5 linked regions of the Mus musculus genome follow. The protein of the gene in region 4 purifies or fractionates together with the protein of the main gene of each other region. This does not show direct contact. Links are inferred from orthologs where the notes say so. Each region holds a gene or a part of one and is shown on either strand. Other genes may lie near its edges. The genes, in order: Vamp3, Stx12, Vamp8, Stx8 and Vamp4.

Region 1 (4,259 bases), on a different chromosome or scaffold from region 4:
ACTTGGAAGATAAGGATCTCAATTTTAAATTAACCTTTCTCATGTAGCTCAGAGTACCCATGAATTCCCAACGCTTAAGCTTAAGGGTGACATTGAACCTCTTAACCTTTTACCTAAAAGCTTTCGTTGCGATTATGGGTGTGCTAACAGCCTGGGTCTACGTGGTTCTGGGGATCAAACCCAGGGCTGCATATTAGACAAGCACTCTGCCAACTAAGTACACTCTTTAGCTCTACTAGGTAGTTGGCTGGGTTGTGTGTGTGTGGTTTTTGTGTGTGTTTTTTTTTTTTTTAAGACCCTTTCCAGCTTACCTCACAAGGCCTCCCTGCTAGGTATTCTTCGTCACTGTTCCAGTCCTCTTGGCTGTAGAGTTCTGTTATCTCTCTGGTAGGACTTCACTTCTGATCTACCTCAGAACTAGTGCCAGTTTCACACTCTGAACCTCCCACCAGGAGCCCACTGCATTTTCTGTTCACTGTTTAAGCCCGGCCCCACACTCTCCATTTCCTCCTATCCAGAATGGTTTTTATAACTACTACTCAACCTAGTACCCACTGGTGTGGCGCTCTTTAATTGCAACACACACCTTTGGGAGTTACCATGCTGAAGTGGAAAAATACCTTAGTGTATTTCATTGAGTGAATCCACCAACGGAGTTTATTTAGTCTGTTTTAGACCTTGTTGGGATTCTTTTCCACATAACTACTCACCCCCGTTGAACAAAAATTGAGTGTCGTCTCCGCAAGGGCCAGGGAATTACAGAAATGAAGAACCTTACAGTTCTCTAAGCCAAGGCTCCCTTTAGGGATTTAATATCCGTGCAATGGCAAATATTTGTCATGTGAGAACCTGAGAGGAGACTTCTCCCAAATCCTGTGGCCAAGACTCCACATGGACTTCCTACTGCCTCTTTCTCAGAAAAGAACTTTGTCTCCTCAGGACCACTAGATTATTCTGGAACGTTAGGCACGTCCGCTGTTTCTAACATGAGAGACAAGGTATGCGGGCTCACAGTAATGTAAAACGTACCCATTCTCACTCTAAACTGCCTTTCCAGGGCTAGAGACAGGGCAGCAGAGACACTGCAGGGAGCTGCTGTGATTCCTTGGCGGCGAAGAGCCCAGCCCAAAGGCGCAGGCGCCGCGCTCTAGCCCCGCCCACTTGTCCACCGAGAACGCCCGCCCACTCGTCAGCGCCGGCGCTACTTCAGCGCAAGCTCTGGCCCCTCCCACTCCGCTCTGCTCCGAGGTGACAGCCCGCGCTGCGCCCGGCTCGATTCCTATCCCGCCCATTTCCGGCGCGCCCCTGGCGACTAAGAGCGCGTCGCGGGTTCCGGTCCGGCCACCGCTCGTGACGTCACCACGGCCCCGCCCATCTCCTCAGCCTCGGTTGCCTGCAGCGCGAGTCCGTCGACCCTCGGCCATTCGCCGCCGCCACCGCCGCCAAAATGTGAGTGACGCGCTGCGCTGAGAGGCGAGGCGGGCTCCGGGGATGGTGGCCCACTCCTGCGACCCGCTTCAGGCGCGGTGGCCGCTGCTTGACACTCGGACTCGAGTGGAGGCCTCGCAGGCCTACGCGCGGAGTCCCGGGGCCTGAGGTGGGCAGCGGCCCCGCGGTGCACCCTGTCCCCGGACGCTGCGGGACGAGTCGTGGCGCCGCGACGTCCCCGAGTGCCCCGCGGACGGCGGGCAGACGCGGAAGGACGGGGGTGGGGACACCGCCTGACCGAGGAAGCGGCCGCCACACCCCGCGGCTCCTTCCTCGCGAGGGGCGGGAGCGAGCGTGAACGCTCACTCTGTGCGCGGGGTGCGCCCGGCAGGAGCGGGAGACCTGAGGTGGCCGGGAGCCCGTCGTAGGCCAGCGTTTGGCGCTCCCGACGCATCTGGGCAATGGGTTTCTCTTCCGTTTTAAGCCAGCACACTCTGGTTTTAAAATTGGTTTCTAATTGCAACCTTCAGCCAGAATTGTTGTCACCACTTAAGATGTACCTGGTCAGACTGCTGAGCAAATGGCAGTGTCCGGTCCACACTCAAGAGGATTAAATTGGTTCAGTTCAGCCAGCCGCATGTTCAGCCTAAGTTTTAATAAGATGGGAAGGATCGTAGTATCCTCTTTAGTGATATTAGACTTTAAAGAGAGAAAAAATAAATAACATGGATAGTGCTTCCAGAGCACGGTCCTTACCTGTTTAATTTTCGGACCCTGAGTTATGTGAGACAGCCATCAGTGATGTGTCCTTGGTGGTAGACACAGTGCAAACTTTAAAAAGTGCTGTGAGTCAACCCTAGAGTGACAGTTGTGTAGGAAGGCAAAAATTGGAAGCTGTTTTAGATACAAGAGTTTAATGGAGGCAATAAGGACTTAAAAACCAGAGTACTTGTGAAAAGTGGGGATGAGTGAAAATCCAGACTCACTGAACCTATGAGAGATGAATGACTTTCCAACAGAGACAGTTGCTTCAGCCTCCTTCCCGTTCATACAGACCCCCTCCATGCACTTTGAACCTATTTCTTCATATTGTCTGTTCTGTGATTGTTCCTAATTATCAGCCACAACAAAAAGATCAGGAGTCTACTTTAAACATCTGTGTGTCTTAAAGCAAGTTTAAAAAAAAAAAAAACCCACACTTTATTGACATAGAACAGATCTTGTTAAATATTTGTTTCAGACTTTTATCACTATCAAGTGATACAGTCTTAAGAATTATTGAGGGGTTATAAAAACATATTAGTGCCTTTATTTTTTACCTTGGGACTTTTAAGAAATAACTGCAGTGTAAGGAGTTAAGACTGCGTCCCACCATAACAGTTTATACACACAAACAGGCCATGGTATACTTGAGAGCAAAGGACACTTGAGAGCAGAGAACAACCTCACATGTCAGTCCTGGCTTTCCACCTTATTGGAGACACTATCTCTTGTTCAGTGCTGCATGTATCAGGTGAGCTGGCCCTCAGGCTTCCAAGACTCTCATGTGTCCACCTCCCATGTCATGGTTGGAGCATTGGGATTATATATTAGCTTATCAAGTGCACTGGGAATTACAGTGTACTCATACTTGTGACTTTATACCTTTCAGGTCTACAGGTGTGCCTTCGGGGTCAAGTGCTGCCACTGGCAGTAATCGAAGACTCCAGCAGACACAAAATCAAGTAGATGAGGTACCACTCTAAAATTTTAAATGTGACTTTTAAACAAACATGGGAATTCTCTAGAATTTTATTTAGAAAAAGAGTCGTTGGAGCTAGAAAGATGTCTCGGGAGTTAAAAGAACACTTACTTGTTCTAGCAGAGGATCCACCTGGGTTCCAAGCACTCTCATTTGTATCACGAAACTGCTTGTAACTGCCTCCAAGGGCACATGCATGCACCTGTACACACAGACACAAGCATGTAATTATTTTTTTAAAACATTAGAGAAAAAAGGCATCAGCAGTGTGTGGGCATAAATTTTGACTATATCAGAAGTCATCTTTTTAAACGTGTATTTAAAGGGCAATAGTACAGATTCTGCGAGAAACTCAGACAAGTATTTCCATATTCTTTTTGTTTAGGTTTATTTTTATTTTATGTATATGATGCTTTGCCTGAATGTTCTAGAAGCCATCTTCTAAGCACAAAGGAGACTCTTCCTGGTTTCATACTAATTTTTCTACTACCAATTACAAACCTAAAACATATCTGAAAGCTTGTCCCCAGAGCCACTTGTAAGATAGGGTAATTGGATTATTCAAGCCAGGAACAAGTCTTTCTGATTTGGGTTTTGTTTTGTTTCCAAATTGTTGTGTGTCTTATAGCCAGGTTTACTAGTTCCCTAATAGAGGCAGGTCTTTGCTTTCTCTGATATTTGTTGAAGGACCCATAGCAGGTGGAACTGCTGTAGCCCCAGCTCTCCCTAGAATTCTTGAGCTAGTGGAGTCTTAAGGCATCTTTTGTTTTGGTGTGCTCATGTAGAACCACAGTGCAGATCCTGCGAGAAGCTCAGACCACTACTTCCATATTTTTTTATTAAGATTTACAAGTATGAGGGTTTTGCCTACATGTACGTGTACTGTGTGTATATGTGTGTGTGTGTGTATGTACTATGTGTGTGTGCTGTGTGTGTATGCAGTTTCTGCAGAGTCCAGAAGACATCAAAACCCTTGGAACTAGAGTTATAGAAGGTTTTCAGCTGCTTTATTGGTGCTGGGAACTAAACCCAGGTTGAACCATCTCCCCACTCATACACACACACACACACACACACACACACTCACACA
Region 2 (3,463 bases), on a different chromosome or scaffold from region 4:
AGATTTATATGAAAAGGGCTGTGTTAAGTCTTTGTGTGTTTGTGTTTTTTTTTAATTTATTTATTATATCGTAAGTCCACTGTAGCTGACTTCAGACACACCAGAAGAGGGCATCAAATCTCATTAAGAATGGTTGTGAGCCACCATGTGGTTGCTGGAATTTGAACTCAGGACCTCCGGAAGCGCAGTCAGTGCTCTTAACCGCTGAGCCATCTCTCCAGCCCCTTTGTGTGTTTTATATTATCTATAAATTTAGTTGTGGCAAAATTGAACTTCTGCTATGTTCTGTTGGCCTGGCCGCTCAAAAGCTCCCAGATTCTTGCTCAAACCCCATTTACTGTATGGTCTCTGGGAGAGACTCATGCATGGAAAACAGCAAAGCAAGCGATACTCTGTTGATTCCTAGAACTCTCATCTCAGTAGCTATCTCCAGGGTAAGCAGGGTTCTGTGTGGAGAGCTCTTTTTCATAGTCTGCATAGCCCAGCCGAAAGGCAGGCTCCGGCTCTGCTTTTGTACATTCTAAAGTCCAGTTCCAAGTATAGCCCTTGCCCCGTCATTGGGTCAGACTTGGAAACACTTTTGATGTGGGGTTGAGGGAAAGTTCTGTAAGCTGTCCTTGGCTCCTTGAGCTCCATCATAACCAAGGCAACTGAGTTTAAAAAAAAAAAAAAAGCATTTAAAAAATGTTATCAAAAGTATGATCATATGGTGTGGTGGTTTGGATGAGTATTACTGCAGTTGTAGATTATTTCAGAAGGACTAGGAGGTGTGGTTTAAAGTTTTAAATGTTTAAAATTTAGTTTATTTTGTATTATGTTTATGAGTGCTCTTGGGGATCAGAAAAGGGGTCAGATCCCTTGGAACTAGAGTTCTGGGTGGTTGTGAGCTCTGCCATGTGTGTGCTGGGAACTGAACCTGGGTCCTCTGCAAGATCAACAACTGATTAACTGCTGAGCTATCTCTCCTCCAGCATTTAAGTAGGGACTTGCTTACAGTTTAGGCAGGCAGGCAGGCGGGCTTTGGGAGCTAACATCTGATCCACAAGTGAGAGAGACAGAGAGAGAGAGAACACAGAGAGAACAGAGAGAAAGAAAAACATGAATTGGGCCTGGCTTAGGCTTTTGGAGCTTGAAAGCCCACCCCCTGTGATACATCTCCTCTAACAAGGCCACCCTTTCCAATCCTTCCTAACCCTTCCTGGATGGCCCTCCACCTGGGGCAATACTTATTCACACCATACCATACGCACATACCTTTAACAGGCACCAGTCCATTGCTCTTCCACCTGACTTGTGTTTGCCATGGCTTATTACCTATGAAAGTATAAACCTGAACATAGAGAATCTTACCTCCATCACTGCTGGAGATACTGTGCAGCTGAGCCCACCAAGCTGGGAAGTTATTGAACATTTTCAGTCAGATCAGCTTCCAAGTGATGTCCTTTCACCCTGCCAACTGTTCTCCAACAGTTTGTCAGTTGGAAGTTGTTTATAGGGCATCATTCAAGTGACACAGAATCCGGTAGTTCCTCACATAGTTCCTCACATAGTCTGCCCTGTGGAAACCATCTCCTTGGCTGCTTGTCTTCTATGTGTTCTCCAGGCAACACAGTCCTATAGAAGCCATTTAAATTCTCTAGTCAGAAGGCCTAGTAGTGGCTGACGTTGGTCTGCTCTCCCTAGAGCCGTCACACTGAGCATGTGTCCACCACAGCACTCCAGCGTCTGGTGGATACAGTTGAGGCTTGAATGATCTTACTAGTTCCCAGGTAACATGGGCAGTGAATATTGCTCAGTGAGTGGGGTTCGTGTCTGTTGTTCTACAGTATTAGGTAAGCAGCAATAGATAGTTTTCTATTCATGGAGAAACCTTTAAAATGCATGTGATTATTAATCTTTAGGGAAAGAAAAGAAAAATCTTCTAGCATATTGCTTAGTGTGAGCTAATTGTTTTTGTTTTTGTTTTTTTAATCTCCCTTAGGCTGACATTTTGGATGTCAATCAGATATTTAAAGATTTAGCTATGATGATCCATGACCAAGGTGATCTGATCGGTATGTACTATTAATACATCTAACCTTAGGGTGAGTACAAAGAACTCAGTAAGATGGGTCACTGGGAACTTAACTTAGGAATATCTTTTTTTAAAATTACTGAATTCATTTAAGTGTAAAGGCTGAAGAGGGTGAACCCTGTTCATTTGTTACAGCCTGCAAGTCTGTTAGAGAAAGGCCTGTCACACCCCAGCTTTGAGCTCTAGACGCTCAGGGATTGCGGGGTTAGTAACTTTTAAAAGCTTTTTAATGAGGAAATGATCTCAAATTTATAAAAAGCTGCAAAATAAAAACAATAGAAGAAATCTTTTATATATCCCTACCCAGGATTTTCCTGGTTAATAACATTGTGCCCCCTTTATTTTGTGATGTACACCTCTCTGTGTGTGTAGATACATAAATATGCCGTCTGCACCCCCCCCCAGTCTTTTCTCTTAAACTCTATATAGGTTACATAATTAGTAACCTGCTACTATTAAATATGTCAGTGTTTATTTTTGAAGAATGGTACTGTTCTCTTATCAAGTTAGAAACGTGTAGCTGGGAATGGTAGTGATGCCTGTAGCCTCTGCACTCAGTGGCTGCATGACGGTCGGGAGTTTAGGCAGCGTCAGGTACAGGGCATGTTGTTGAGGATGCTGAGGCCATCTCAGACTCCGTGAGACCCTATCTCAGAAGACTAAATGAAAAGAAGCACATTTCTGATCTCGTGGCTGGCTGGTTTGGATGGTAATGGTGAATCTAAGGCCTGTGCCATCAGACATGTTCAGAGGGGCTGGATAGATGGCACAGCAGCTGAGAACAGTGTCTGCCCTTCCAAAAGACTATGGTCTGATTCCCAGCACCTACTCACCAGCTCATAGCCATCGGTAGCTCTAGTTCTGAGGGATCCAACACCCTCCAGGAATGTACATGGTATACAGATTGCAGATAAAACATCTATATACTTTTTTTAAAAAAGAAAAAATTTGCTTGTTTGGTTTTTTCAGTATTGAAATACCTGAATGTGCTAAAATGTGCATCGTATGTTTTACAGATAGCATAGAAGCCAATGTGGAAAGCTCGGAGGTGCATGTGGAAAGAGCCACTGATCAGCTACAAAGAGCTGCTTACTATCAGGTAAAAGCCAGAGTCAAAGAAAGTCACTCTATGCTGTAGACTCTGTGAACTTCCAGGCTGTGTTAACACATTGCTGGCAGCTGCAGTCTTTTGCTTGAGTTTAAGCTGGATGCAGGCAGTCATAGTTTGCAGCTCTAGTCCCATTTTTAGTATTTATTTTTGTAGCCAGATCTCCAATACCATCAAATCCTGAATAACTTACATAGAAGCTGTGTGGCTATAAAGCTAATGCCACGAGCTAGCTTGATGCCTAAAGTCTAGCATGATGCTAACCTTATATCCTAAATGGG
Region 3 (2,963 bases), on a different chromosome or scaffold from region 4:
TGTAACTCCAGGGGAACCAACATCCTCTTCTGGCCTCTGCAGGCTCTTCATTCACATACTCATACTTATTTTTTTAAATAATTTTCTTTATTTTTTTTAGTGTCTATGAGTACACTGTAGCTGTCTTCAGACACACCACAAGAGGGTATCAGATCCCATTACAGAATGGTTGTGAGCCACCATGTGGTTGCTGGGAATTGAACTCAGGACTTCTGGAAGAGCAGTCAGTGCTCTCAACCTCTGAGCCATCTCTCTAAACCCATACTCATTCTTCTTAAAAAATAAAAGTCCTTTTAAAGACAGACAGACAGACTGACTGACTTATTGATTCTAGCTGGGTCTAGTGATTGGCATATCTAATTCAGGTATGCAAAGCCTCTGAGCTGCCATCTTTCTTCACTAAACCTGTGCTCAATCCTTGCACTATCTTGGTTCTAGATTGGGAGAAACCAGCCTGGAGGGGTTCCTCAGAAAGAAAGAAACAGACACTTGAAAGACACAGGAGTAAAGCGCCTCGTACACTTAGGGATACCAAGAGGTCTTTATTGCCCACCAGCCACCAACAGTTTCCCAGCCACAGACAGGGTCCTCTGGGTCTCTGTAACCCACTCTCAGGACCATGAGATGCAGCTACAGTCCAGCTGTCTCCTCCCAGGGGATCAAGGTGCGTCTGGGGCATCTGATGCAGCAGAAGGCCCTCACAGGGACTGAGCAGCACTTGGGTGGAGGAGGACAGGAGAGGGCTCCTCTTGGCACATATTAGGGAGGTCACCCCTGAGGAGTAGGGTGGGATGGAAGGGACTCTTAAGTGGGGATGGTACCAGTGGCAAAAAGTATAATGAGGATGACGATGATAAGGACAATCACACAGATGATGACAATCATCTTCACATTCTTCCACCAGAACTTCCGGGCCACCTTCTGGGACGTTGTCTTGAAGTGTTCAGACTGTTGGGGATAAGATAAAGTCGTGAGCTCCTGCCCTCAGACTGAGAGTACAGACGGACACCACATGCCATAGTATAGATGTTTACATTACATTATAAATCGAAGTAGGAAACGGAAAAAAAGACGCTGGAGCTGGAGGATAGCCACTTCGAAATAAAAACACAAATAAGTGAACAATTCTTTCCTCTTACAATAGGAATGGAAAGGTTCTTAAAAATACTTTATAACATGTATTTGTGCCTCTGCCTTATGTGCCACACTGCCCACGTGGTGGAGAGGGGTCGACTTGCAGGAAATGGTTCTCTCTTCTCCTCTGTATGTCCTGGGGATTGAACCCACGCAGCCAGGCTCGCTGACAAAAGTCTTTACCCACTGATCTCTCTCTGGTTTTTTTTTTTTTTGTTTGTTTGTTTTGTTTTGTTTTGTTTTACTTTTGAGACAGGGCCTCACTAAGTATGCCTGGATGGCCAGGAGCTTCAGAGATCTGTCTATCTCTGGCTGCTTCACAAATGTCTTTCTACAACAATCTGTAAGCCAAGTTCTAGTTTAGAATTCTTGAACTCATAAAACTTCCCTCTGAGCATAGCAGGGTCCCTTCCTTTTCTGTTTCTATCTTTCTAGTCGGGATCTCATACAGCAAAGCCTGGCCTCCACTCCTTGTAGCAAAGGATGACCTTGAACTTTTGTTTGTTTGTTTGTTTGTTTGTTGTTTGGTTTTTCGAGACAGGGTTTCTCTGTGTAGTCCTGGCTGTCCTGGAACTCACTCTGTAGACCAGGCTGGCCTCGAACTCAGAAATCCACCTGCCTCTGCCTCCCGAGTGCTGGGATTAATCCACCATGCCCGGCGACCTTGAACTTTTAAAAACAATATTTATTTGTTTGTTTGTTTATGTGTGTGGTGTGCACAAGCCACAGTGGAGGTCAGAGGTCATTTTATAGGAATCAAGACTACCAACCATATGAATCCCACAAATGGAACTCAAATCCTTAGGCTTGGTACCAAGTGTCTTTACCTTTTGAGCCATCTCAATGGCCTGGCTTTGAACTTCTGATCCACTTGCCTCTACCTTCAAAGAGTTCAGATTACAGGCGTGTGCCACAATACCATATTTATATAGTGCCAGGGACTGAACCCAGGGCTTCGTGAAGTCTAGTGAAGTACTCTACCACCTGAGTCTTATGTCCAGTCTCCCTTCTTTTTCTTGCCCCTGCACTAACCTGCATACTAAGGGGTCTTTTACAGATATATGCTCACAATTGGAGTTTGTTTGACTGGTAGAGAAATCTGGCCTTTGGAGCACAGACCCACAAGCTAAGGGGTACAGGAATGTGCTCCAGATGGGCACATGTCCTGGCTCAATGATACTTTGCTTTGTCTTCTGAGTTCTGTAGAAGCTGAAGGAAGAACCAAAGCACTGCAGAAACTTAAAAGAAAGAGCTGGGCGTGGTTGCGCACGCCTTTAATCCCAGCATTTGGGAGGCAGAGGCAGGTGGATTTCTGAGTTCGAGGCCAGCCTGGTCTACAAAGTGAGTTCCAGGACAGCCAGGGCTACACAGAGAAACCCTGTCTTGAGAAAGAAAGAAAGAAAGAAAGAAAGAAAGAAAGAAAGAAAGAAAGAAAGAAAGAAAAGAAAGAAAAGAAAGGAAGAAAGGAAGAAAGGAAGAAAGGAAGAAAGGAAGAAAGGAAGAAAGGAAGAAAGGAAGAAAGGAAGAAAGGAAGAAAGGAAGAAAGGAAGAAAGGAAGAAAGGAAGAAAGGAAGAAAGGAAGAAAGGAAGAAAGGAAGAAAGGAAGAAAGGAAAGGAAAGGAAGAAAGGAAGAAAGGAAGAAAGGAAGAAAGGAAGAAAGGAAGAAAGAAAAAAGCCTCCTGCTTCTCCAAGTTAATACAGACACTAAGTCTCCATGTGCCCAGCTTATGCTGCAGGAGGCACTAGATTCCAAGATAACCCAATGGACCCAGGAAGCCAGTGTACTCCACAGCAAGTGAAAACTGAGGCCCCAGCCTTGGTTTGTGTTA
Region 4 (3,516 bases):
CACAGTCCTGGAGCAATAGGTACCTTGAATAATTTTCTGCTGCTGTTGTCGGATCTCATCAAAACCCAAACCTCTGGTCTCCTCCGGCTCCTCACAGAGCCAAGGGTTGGGAGTTCCTCGCTTTGCTTCTTCGCTCATCAGGCTGGACCTGAGAACAATAGCAAGCACATTACATATCTCACAAAACACAACCGGCTGAAAATCACTGTGACGAGCACGGAGCTGGCCAGCCTGGCACGCTTTGCAAAGCCATCTCCACAATTTATCGCACTCTTAGTTTATTCTAGGGACCATGCCCAGGGCTGTAAGAGATCTGAGGCTAGGCTGTGGTCCCCAGACAATTACACAGCATTCTACTAACCCTCCAAAGATGGTGGTAAATTAGGTTGTTAAGTCTCAAACCACAAGGCCATCGGGAAGTTGCCTGTTTATCAGAACAAATTTTGTTTCACAGGCTTTGTGACACAGAAGGCACAGAAATAATATTTTTTCATACAAATATATACAAATAAAAATACAAATATTTTCATGCAAATATAATACTAATAATACAGATTACAGCATAGAAAAGTAATAAAATCTCCCATTAAAGGGTGCTTGGTTGCTCACAGAAACACATTCAGAGTTCCAATTCAACTGTGTGACTACAGTCAAAACAATCACACTGAGTGTGACTGTCTACTGTGATCATTACCCCCCTGAAGCAATGCACATTGGCTCTTGTACAACACATCTTGGTCTTCCATCTAAGGACAGAGCGCGTAGTTCCTGCCGCTGCCTCCCTGTCCAAAGGATGTAAGAATCCCGTTGCCCTGACTGCTCCAGTGCAGAGTTGAACGGGATTCACACCATTGCTCTTGCTGAGCCTGAGAGAGGGGTGATGATGATGTAGGAGTGGAGGAACAGTAGCAGTCACCATGGATTAAGCAACTGCTATGTGCAGACGCTCTCTGGGTGATTTAGTGTACACTCACTCATTTCTCCATTGCTTATCATTTTTCAAGCCCTGATGGCATCTCTTGTGTTGTCTGGAAGTAACTGCTACCCTACTGTTTGGCCTTCCATATCGTTAAGCCTTCTGACCACTGGATAGGAAGTGGACATAGAACCCACCTCCCCTCTATTGCACCCTGCTCCCCAGTGTAGAGCAAATAGCCACGAGCATGCCACTTACTGGGAGTATATAGACAGTAGCATCTACCTCTGGAAGTTTTAGCATGGATTAACTAGAGTAATTTATGTATTCATAAAATGATTTTGTCAATACTTATTCAGTAGGCACTGTTTTAATCAAACAAACTATGTACAAGCTGATCAAAATTTTGCCCTGACAATATACAGCTTCTCCTTGTGGGTGTTGTCCTCATGTACTTGTGTGTGTATATGTTTGTGTGTGAAAAGAGATGATAATAATGTATGCAAACTACTGAATACAGTGTTTGGGAAATAATATCTTTTTCAATAGATTAACTGTTTTCATTATACCAATTACTGCATTGTCTACTAGGAGGTATTAAAATTATTTTAAACAATATATTCCAACATTCTATTAATTTCACTTTTAACTAAAAAGAGACTATATCCTTCAAGAAAACCTGGGCTAAATGCAAAGACTGTTTTGATTCTTTGGACTAAGATTTTACGCACAGGTCTGGTCTCATATTCAAATGTGCCAATTAACATGTCAAACACCAGTATGACTTTCTTCCAGTCTATCAAAAAGAGAGATGTGTTCTTCAAGGTTTTACTTGACATGATTGGCCCCAAGAAGCCAAGATGTCGAGGTTTCACACTTACTCCATACATAATCACTTAGCTTCACCTAGCTTTGAAGACAAGGAAGAAAGAAATGAAAAGGGAAGTGAAGCAGGCAATTTGCAATCCAAACATATCCATTAGCACCGGAGTCATCTTGCAAGTGCCAGCATGAAACACACCGTAGCTGTATGTGGCTCACTGCAAAAGCCTGGGTCAGAAACTATAAAAATCGCCCGAGACTCAGGAGTGCATTGGTGGCCAGCTCTGAGCAGTCATTTCAGTGAGTGTATCAAAACTGAGTGGTACTGCTCCAAGGTTAGTATCAAGCCCTTGTCTATCTCTCTCTGTCTCTCTCTCTCTCTCTCTGTCTCTCTCTCTCTCTCTCTCTCTCTCTCTCTCTCTCTCTCACACACACACACACACACACACTAATGTACACACACTATACAGAGAAACCCTGTCTCAAAAAAAAGAAAAAAAACACAAAATGAATGTACACACACTTGTGCACACAGACAAAATTAAGGTATTAATATGAAAGGACAAAAACAATTCAGCAAATGTGAGGTGATTTTAAGCAACCTCAATAAATGGCAAGTTAGGACTCCAGCTGTGTTGACGTGTGCAGTTTGTGTGTGGTATGTGTATACTTTAATCACCTATTAGGGAATAAAAGTAAAAATGTGGGCACAAGCTCATATCAATAGTAAACATGATACAGAGAATAGACTTCCCAGCATGACCTAATTCCCAGAGCTAAGCCACGCCTACTTCCTGCTCCTCTGACTTGGTCTTCCTCGATTACTGATGGCCTGGACCTACCAGCAATGCACCTGTAGCATTCCTATGCGTCTATGCATCTGAATGCACTTCATCAGCTTAGGGTGATACCTACTATTAGTCACTACTGCTCTACTGACACTGGCCTTAGTAGAGTCACATCATATTCTGAAGTAAGGATAAAGAATGGTACATGAATAAGTAAAATAAGCCAAGTGGTAAAAAAAAATTTTTTTTTGAAAAAAAACAAACAAACAAAAAATAGGCATGTCCTCCCTCCCTTTCCCTACAAGAAAATCACCAAGCTGAAGACTTTCCAATGTATCTCTGCCCTTGGCATTTTCCCACAGGTGCCCTGTGATGCCTGTCTCATTTAAGAATCCTCAAGTAGTTCGCAAAGGCAAGGTCAAATTCACTCCTTTGCCCCATAAGCTTTTCTCCTCCCCATCTCGAGTCTGCTTAGTGTGCCATCCAGGGCCTTGTGTTACTACTGTTGTTGCTGCTGCTGCTGCTGCTGCTGCTGCAATTATCCTTCTACCTCACAGCAGTGGCTGAGGTGTTCTTCAGAGATGGCTCACTGTCCTCATGCACAGCCAACATGTTCCCCTGTTAGTACAGCCTAGCTTTAGACCCTCCTCACCTCTCCTACAGACCCATTCTGATGATAGAATGACCTAAAACTGAAGTCTCACTATTATTATCTCCATGGTTCACAACTTCCGTGACTCCCTGGAACTATAGGTTACGTGTGAGCTTTAAAAGATGGTCCATGGTCTCAGCAGCAGCATCTCCCAATGCCCCAGTACCACACCCTTCATCTCCCTGAGTCGTACATCCTGCTCACTACCACAGAGTCAAAGGCACAAACTTTCACACTCTCATGTTTTTGCATGAGTCTGGAGTATCCCCACCCCCACCCCTTTGTCCATCTGGCAAAATTCTATTCATCCCCTAAGGCTCAACTCAAAGGTCACTTCT
Region 5 (4,251 bases), on a different chromosome or scaffold from region 4:
AAACATGTGACTTTCTAGAGGGTGGGCACCTGGAGGATCAGAAGAGCTCTGGGCTCCTCATACTTTTCCATCTAGCCCATCTGATAATTAATCTGCACCCTTTCTATCAGTCTCTAAAAATAAACTGGCAAACTTAAGCAAAGTGACTCCCTGCATTCTGTGAACCAGTCTAGTAAACTAATTGAAACCAACAAAGAGACTGTGGCCATCACAATTTACAGCCAATCAGGTACAGTAACTTGGAAGTACACTCTATGTGTACTTCACTGCCCGCTTTAATGTCACGTACGTATCTTCTGTAGAAGGTTTCTATTCAGTGGCCACCTGAAGAAGGGGACAGTTGTGGCTATTTCCTAGTAGACAGTGGTAGAAACGAACTAAGAGGACTCTCAACTGGTGTCTCCTGGAGAATCTCCCGCAAAATTGCTTGCTTTCTGAGGAAAAACACCCTCCTTGCTGTCTGGGTACACAGACATTTTCTGAGAGAAAATGTGCTTTTTCATACATAAAAACAAAGAAGTTAAACAAAGCAGTGCTCCTTTGCTGTGGAAGCACCCACAGCCTTTTATATGTTAATGTGCACTGTGATTTTTCCAGGGAATACTTGAGTATGCAACATAATCAAATTTTTCTAGGGGAGTGGCTATATGCAAATATACATTTCCAGTATTTTGGAGCAGATGATGACTGACTAAAAAAATCTATAAAAGCCTAAGATGCTTAGTACGTGCTAAACCCATGTATGCATCTTCAGTAACAGAAGCATTCTTAGCATCGAGTTACATAATGCATTTTCTTTTATTCTTGACACTTCTTTCAAGTAAGCATTAAGAAAATTTACTAAGATAACTGTGTTATGTCACACCACTCAAACAGACCAATAAGTGGCTATGCACTATCAGTTTTAATATTTAGTCATTTAGTTGCCATCGTGTTCTAGAACTCTGTTTTAGAAAGGTATCCTTTCTTATAACAACCTATCTTCTATAAAAAACAAACAAACATATTTAAATAATTTAGATATCAGTTTATTGATGGTAAGGCACTAAGAGAAGCCCGAATCAAAGTAATATCATTGAAGTCAGCTTCCTGTTGTTTTTAAACTAACAACTTCACTTATAACATAGCTGCTATCCATCCATGCATGAGTCACAGCCCTGGGGGTCTTTATTCCACATTACTTCCGTTAGAATCATCTGGCCCATTTTATTCCTTACATCTTAATCTCAGAATAAATTTCATGCAGAAATATTACAGAATGCACCGGGAAAAAGTTGATAAGGCAAGAACTGGAGAAAATGAGATTTAAACTGTATCTGGACGATATATTTATATCCTTGACAGCCCAAAAGAAACAACTGGCTGATAACAGATATTGATCTTAGCTAACAGCAAAAGCTGATCTTAGCCAACAGGAGAGAGGGATCAAGCAAATTCACAAAATGTCTTTACACGGTATGACACTAAAACGTAATGAGGAGTAAACCTCTTATTCAAGTTCTAAAATCCAAGCTATCAGTTTGAGGAAGGAAGCAAACTCAGGCTAGACAAATAAACAAACCACCAGCAAATCAGCAGATAGATAAACGAGCTACCCTGGAACTACCCGCAACTAATGATATTTACAGATTAAAAATAAGTAGCGTAAATAAACTGTACTCAGAAATCAGAGTTGACTCCATTCTGCCTACAGTTCCTCCTACCAAAAATATTCTTGTCGTTAACGTGTCTACGTAGTAAGAGTCATCGTGATGTCTTTCCACGTCGTGGATGGAACACCACACGGTTCACTGAAGTGTCAACATCGCACGACTCTTACGTGTACTTCCCCGCTTGCTCAAATCTCTCGTATGCATCTTCTGTAGTACGTTCTCTATTCCGTGGCTTTACATGTAACGCACTTCTAACCTGTTGTTTAATCTACACTGGCTTTTTACCTCGACAAAACAAGCTCTATTTCATTTCGCTAAAAAAGCTCGAATCTGGCTGGGCACGGCTTTCCTTTGCTCAGCCTCCATCCCCCTCGCCAGTTCTTCCTCATTTCTCATCTGCAGTCTCGGCTGGTAACAGTTCCACGCAAATCGTGACTGGAAATCTTACTCGCAAAACCTGTTACGTGTAAGGATTCACCTCCACCCCCGGGTCATTCTAAGCACAGCGGGGATGCGCGCTTTCTCCGAACCCCCGAGGAAGGACCTCAGGCGAGCCTCTCTGGCCAATTCCTCGGCTCCCTTCGCCGCCGCCACCCCAGGCCACGCACCCCGACATCTGCTCGGAACTCTGGCCCCCGACTCCCCGTACAGGTGCCCCCTCGGGAACAGCTCTCCCCCTGGAGGGCAACTCGATCTCAAAGCTCCTCGGCCGCCCCAGCCCCTCCCCAGTCCTCGCGCCCCTTCCTCAGGACACCCCGGGCCCCCGGCCTTCCCCACTCGCGACCCGACCCTCGCGCAGGCCGGTTCCCAGCCCCAGCGGACGTTGGGGGCGGTAGGCAGGGGCGTCGCCTGGCTTCCTGCCTGCTCAGGCGCGCCGGGGCGGGATACCTGCGGTCTCCGATGGGCTCCCGGCAGCAGTCCCTGCTGGCAGCGCAGGGCAGGCGGGGGAGGGAGCGGGAAGCGGAGGAAGAAGGGTGGGAGGGGGAAGGCCGAAGGCGCAGAGCCGCCACCGCTCCGCTCTGCTGCAGCGCCCCCGCTCATCGAGCGACTCGGCGCTCCGCCGCCTGGCGCTGGGCAGAGGGGGCGGGCTCAGGCGAGGGAGATCGAGCCGCTCGGTACTCCGAGTCCTGGAGAGGGCGCAAGGGGGCAGGCTCAGGCAACGGAGATCGAGCGTCTCGGCGCTCCGGGTCTTGTCTTCTGGCGGAGGGGACATGTTCAGGCAATGGAGACCCTGAGCGGGTCGATCGCTTCCGTCTTTCTTGAACCCGGGAGAATCCCCCGGGGTTGTGACGTTCAGATCCGATGGAGGAGCACGTGGGTTGTACATGGGATGAGTAGGGAACGCTGAGAAGTCTTTCAACTGGAGCTGAAAGGGTGACTAGGATGTAGGTCCCGTAGAAGATGCTACTTTGCGGGCTGTCTGAGGGACCTGAGTAAAAGGGGCCGCATGTGATAAAATATCTGTCTGATACCATTTACAAAATTGCTGAGGGTTACTCAGTTTCATTCCTTTTGCTTGTAGCCTAAATGGCAGGATCCAAACATAGGGATTCAGGCGGGAAACCACCCTTACATTGCCATTCTGCCAATAATTCATCTCCTTTACAGTCTCTGCTTGACATATTTATTTAAAGAAGTCTGGCGTTGATAGACTTAGTCCAAAACTGTAGAAATGTGTATTTCTTTTCTTTTTTTTTTTAATTTATCCTCCTCCAAGTCTTTTAAGCTTAATGGTTATTAGTCCTTTGTTAAGAGTTTTTAAACTGTGGGGAAATATATTGCCAGTTATTTGATAGACACAAAAATAAGAAAAGATGCTCAGGGACAAGAAAACAAACCGGAGGAGGAAAATTCCAGGAGAAAGCCCTCTTTCACCCGATCTTTAGTTAGGGTTGCTGTTGGGCTCACTGGTTGAGAGTTTTCTCCTCACAACTTGGCTGACTTGGACTGAAATGGCCTGCCCAGATAGAAGGTATCTTAGTCTGTGTCTCTGGCAGGGCATGGTAGTGAGATTATCACGGAGTCACTAGACAGCCCAGAGGTGGTCTTTTGTTTGTTTGTTTCTATTTATTTAATGTTTTTAAAAGATTTATTATGTGTATGGGTGTTTTTGGCTGCATGCATATATGTGCATACACTACTATGTGTATGCCTGATGCTCTTAAAGATCAGATGAGGACTTCAAATCCCCTGGGACTGGAGTTACAGGCTGTTGCAAGCTGCCATGTGGGTGCTAGGAATTGAACCTGGGTCGTTAACAAGAAGGATAAGTGCCTTTTCTCACTGAGCCGTCTCTCCAGCCCCTTCAGTTGATGATTTTATCCGTATATTTGCTTACTATGCCGAACTTCCTTGCCTTGTTTCCTTAGCTAGTTAATGTCCTTGTCTGTTAACAGCATAAGGAAATACGATAGTAGAGCTACAATGGACATGTCATTCATACATGCCTTATTATTCTTATGAGTAATCTGTTATTTTTCTTTGTATTTAGTCATAATGCCTTAATTTGGCTACTTATTTTGATTGCTTTTGGGCCAGGAACATATGCCCCCACTCTTCTTTAGTAATGTGGGAGAGACCCTTTGACTATCACTAGCAT

The links.
Region 1: the proteins of Stx8 (region 4) and Vamp3 purify together in Homo sapiens (co-immunoprecipitation; 3 studies listed by BioGRID and IntAct, with this or other methods). This does not show direct contact. The link is inferred for Mus musculus from reciprocal best matches to the Homo sapiens genes STX8 and VAMP3.
Region 2: the proteins of Stx8 (region 4) and Stx12 purify together in Homo sapiens (affinity purification with mass spectrometry; 3 studies listed by BioGRID and IntAct, counting the BioPlex papers as one, with this or other methods). This does not show direct contact. The link is inferred for Mus musculus from reciprocal best matches to the Homo sapiens genes STX8 and STX12.
Region 3: the proteins of Stx8 (region 4) and Vamp8 purify together in Homo sapiens (co-immunoprecipitation; 5 studies listed by BioGRID and IntAct, with this or other methods). This does not show direct contact. The link is inferred for Mus musculus from reciprocal best matches to the Homo sapiens genes STX8 and VAMP8.
Region 5: the proteins of Stx8 (region 4) and Vamp4 purify together in Homo sapiens (co-immunoprecipitation; 3 studies listed by BioGRID and IntAct, counting the BioPlex papers as one, with this or other methods). This does not show direct contact. The link is inferred for Mus musculus from reciprocal best matches to the Homo sapiens genes STX8 and VAMP4.

The regions. Positions count from the first base shown.
Region 1 is NC_000070.6:151,055,064-151,059,322, reverse strand, and holds the start of Vamp3 (vesicle-associated membrane protein 3), read left to right. Parts: upstream 1-1,447; coding exon 1,448-1,449; coding exon of another isoform or gene 1,450-1,882; exon of another isoform or gene 1,883-3,079; coding exon 3,080-3,161; exon of another isoform or gene 3,162-3,371; intron 3,372-4,259. Other genes in the region: uncharacterized protein Gm38529, read right to left, coding at 1,313-1,882. UniProt on the Homo sapiens protein: SNARE involved in vesicular transport from the late endosomes to the trans-Golgi network.
Region 2 is NC_000070.6:132,857,010-132,860,472, reverse strand, and holds part of Stx12 (syntaxin-12), read left to right. Parts: intron 1-1,981; coding exon 1,982-2,054; intron 2,055-3,090; coding exon 3,091-3,173; intron 3,174-3,463. UniProt on the Homo sapiens protein: SNARE promoting fusion of transport vesicles with target membranes. Together with SNARE STX6, promotes movement of vesicles from endosomes to the cell membrane, and may therefore function in the endocytic recycling pathway.
Region 3 is NC_000072.6:72,384,706-72,387,668, forward strand, and holds the end of Vamp8 (vesicle-associated membrane protein 8), read right to left. Parts: intron 949-2,963; coding exon 805-948; 3' UTR 516-804; downstream 1-515. UniProt on the Homo sapiens protein: SNAREs, soluble N-ethylmaleimide-sensitive factor-attachment protein receptors, are essential proteins for fusion of cellular membranes.
Region 4 is NC_000077.6:68,007,947-68,011,462, reverse strand, and holds part of Stx8 (syntaxin-8), read right to left. Parts: intron 149-3,516; coding exon 24-148; intron 1-23. UniProt on the Homo sapiens protein: Vesicle trafficking protein that functions in the early secretory pathway, possibly by mediating retrograde transport from cis-Golgi membranes to the ER.
Region 5 is NC_000067.6:162,569,070-162,573,320, reverse strand, and holds the start of Vamp4 (vesicle-associated membrane protein 4), read right to left. Parts: upstream 2,807-4,251; 5' UTR 2,541-2,806; intron 2,494-2,540; exon of another isoform or gene 2,442-2,493; intron 1-2,441. UniProt on the Homo sapiens protein: Involved in the pathway that functions to remove an inhibitor (probably synaptotagmin-4) of calcium-triggered exocytosis during the maturation of secretory granules.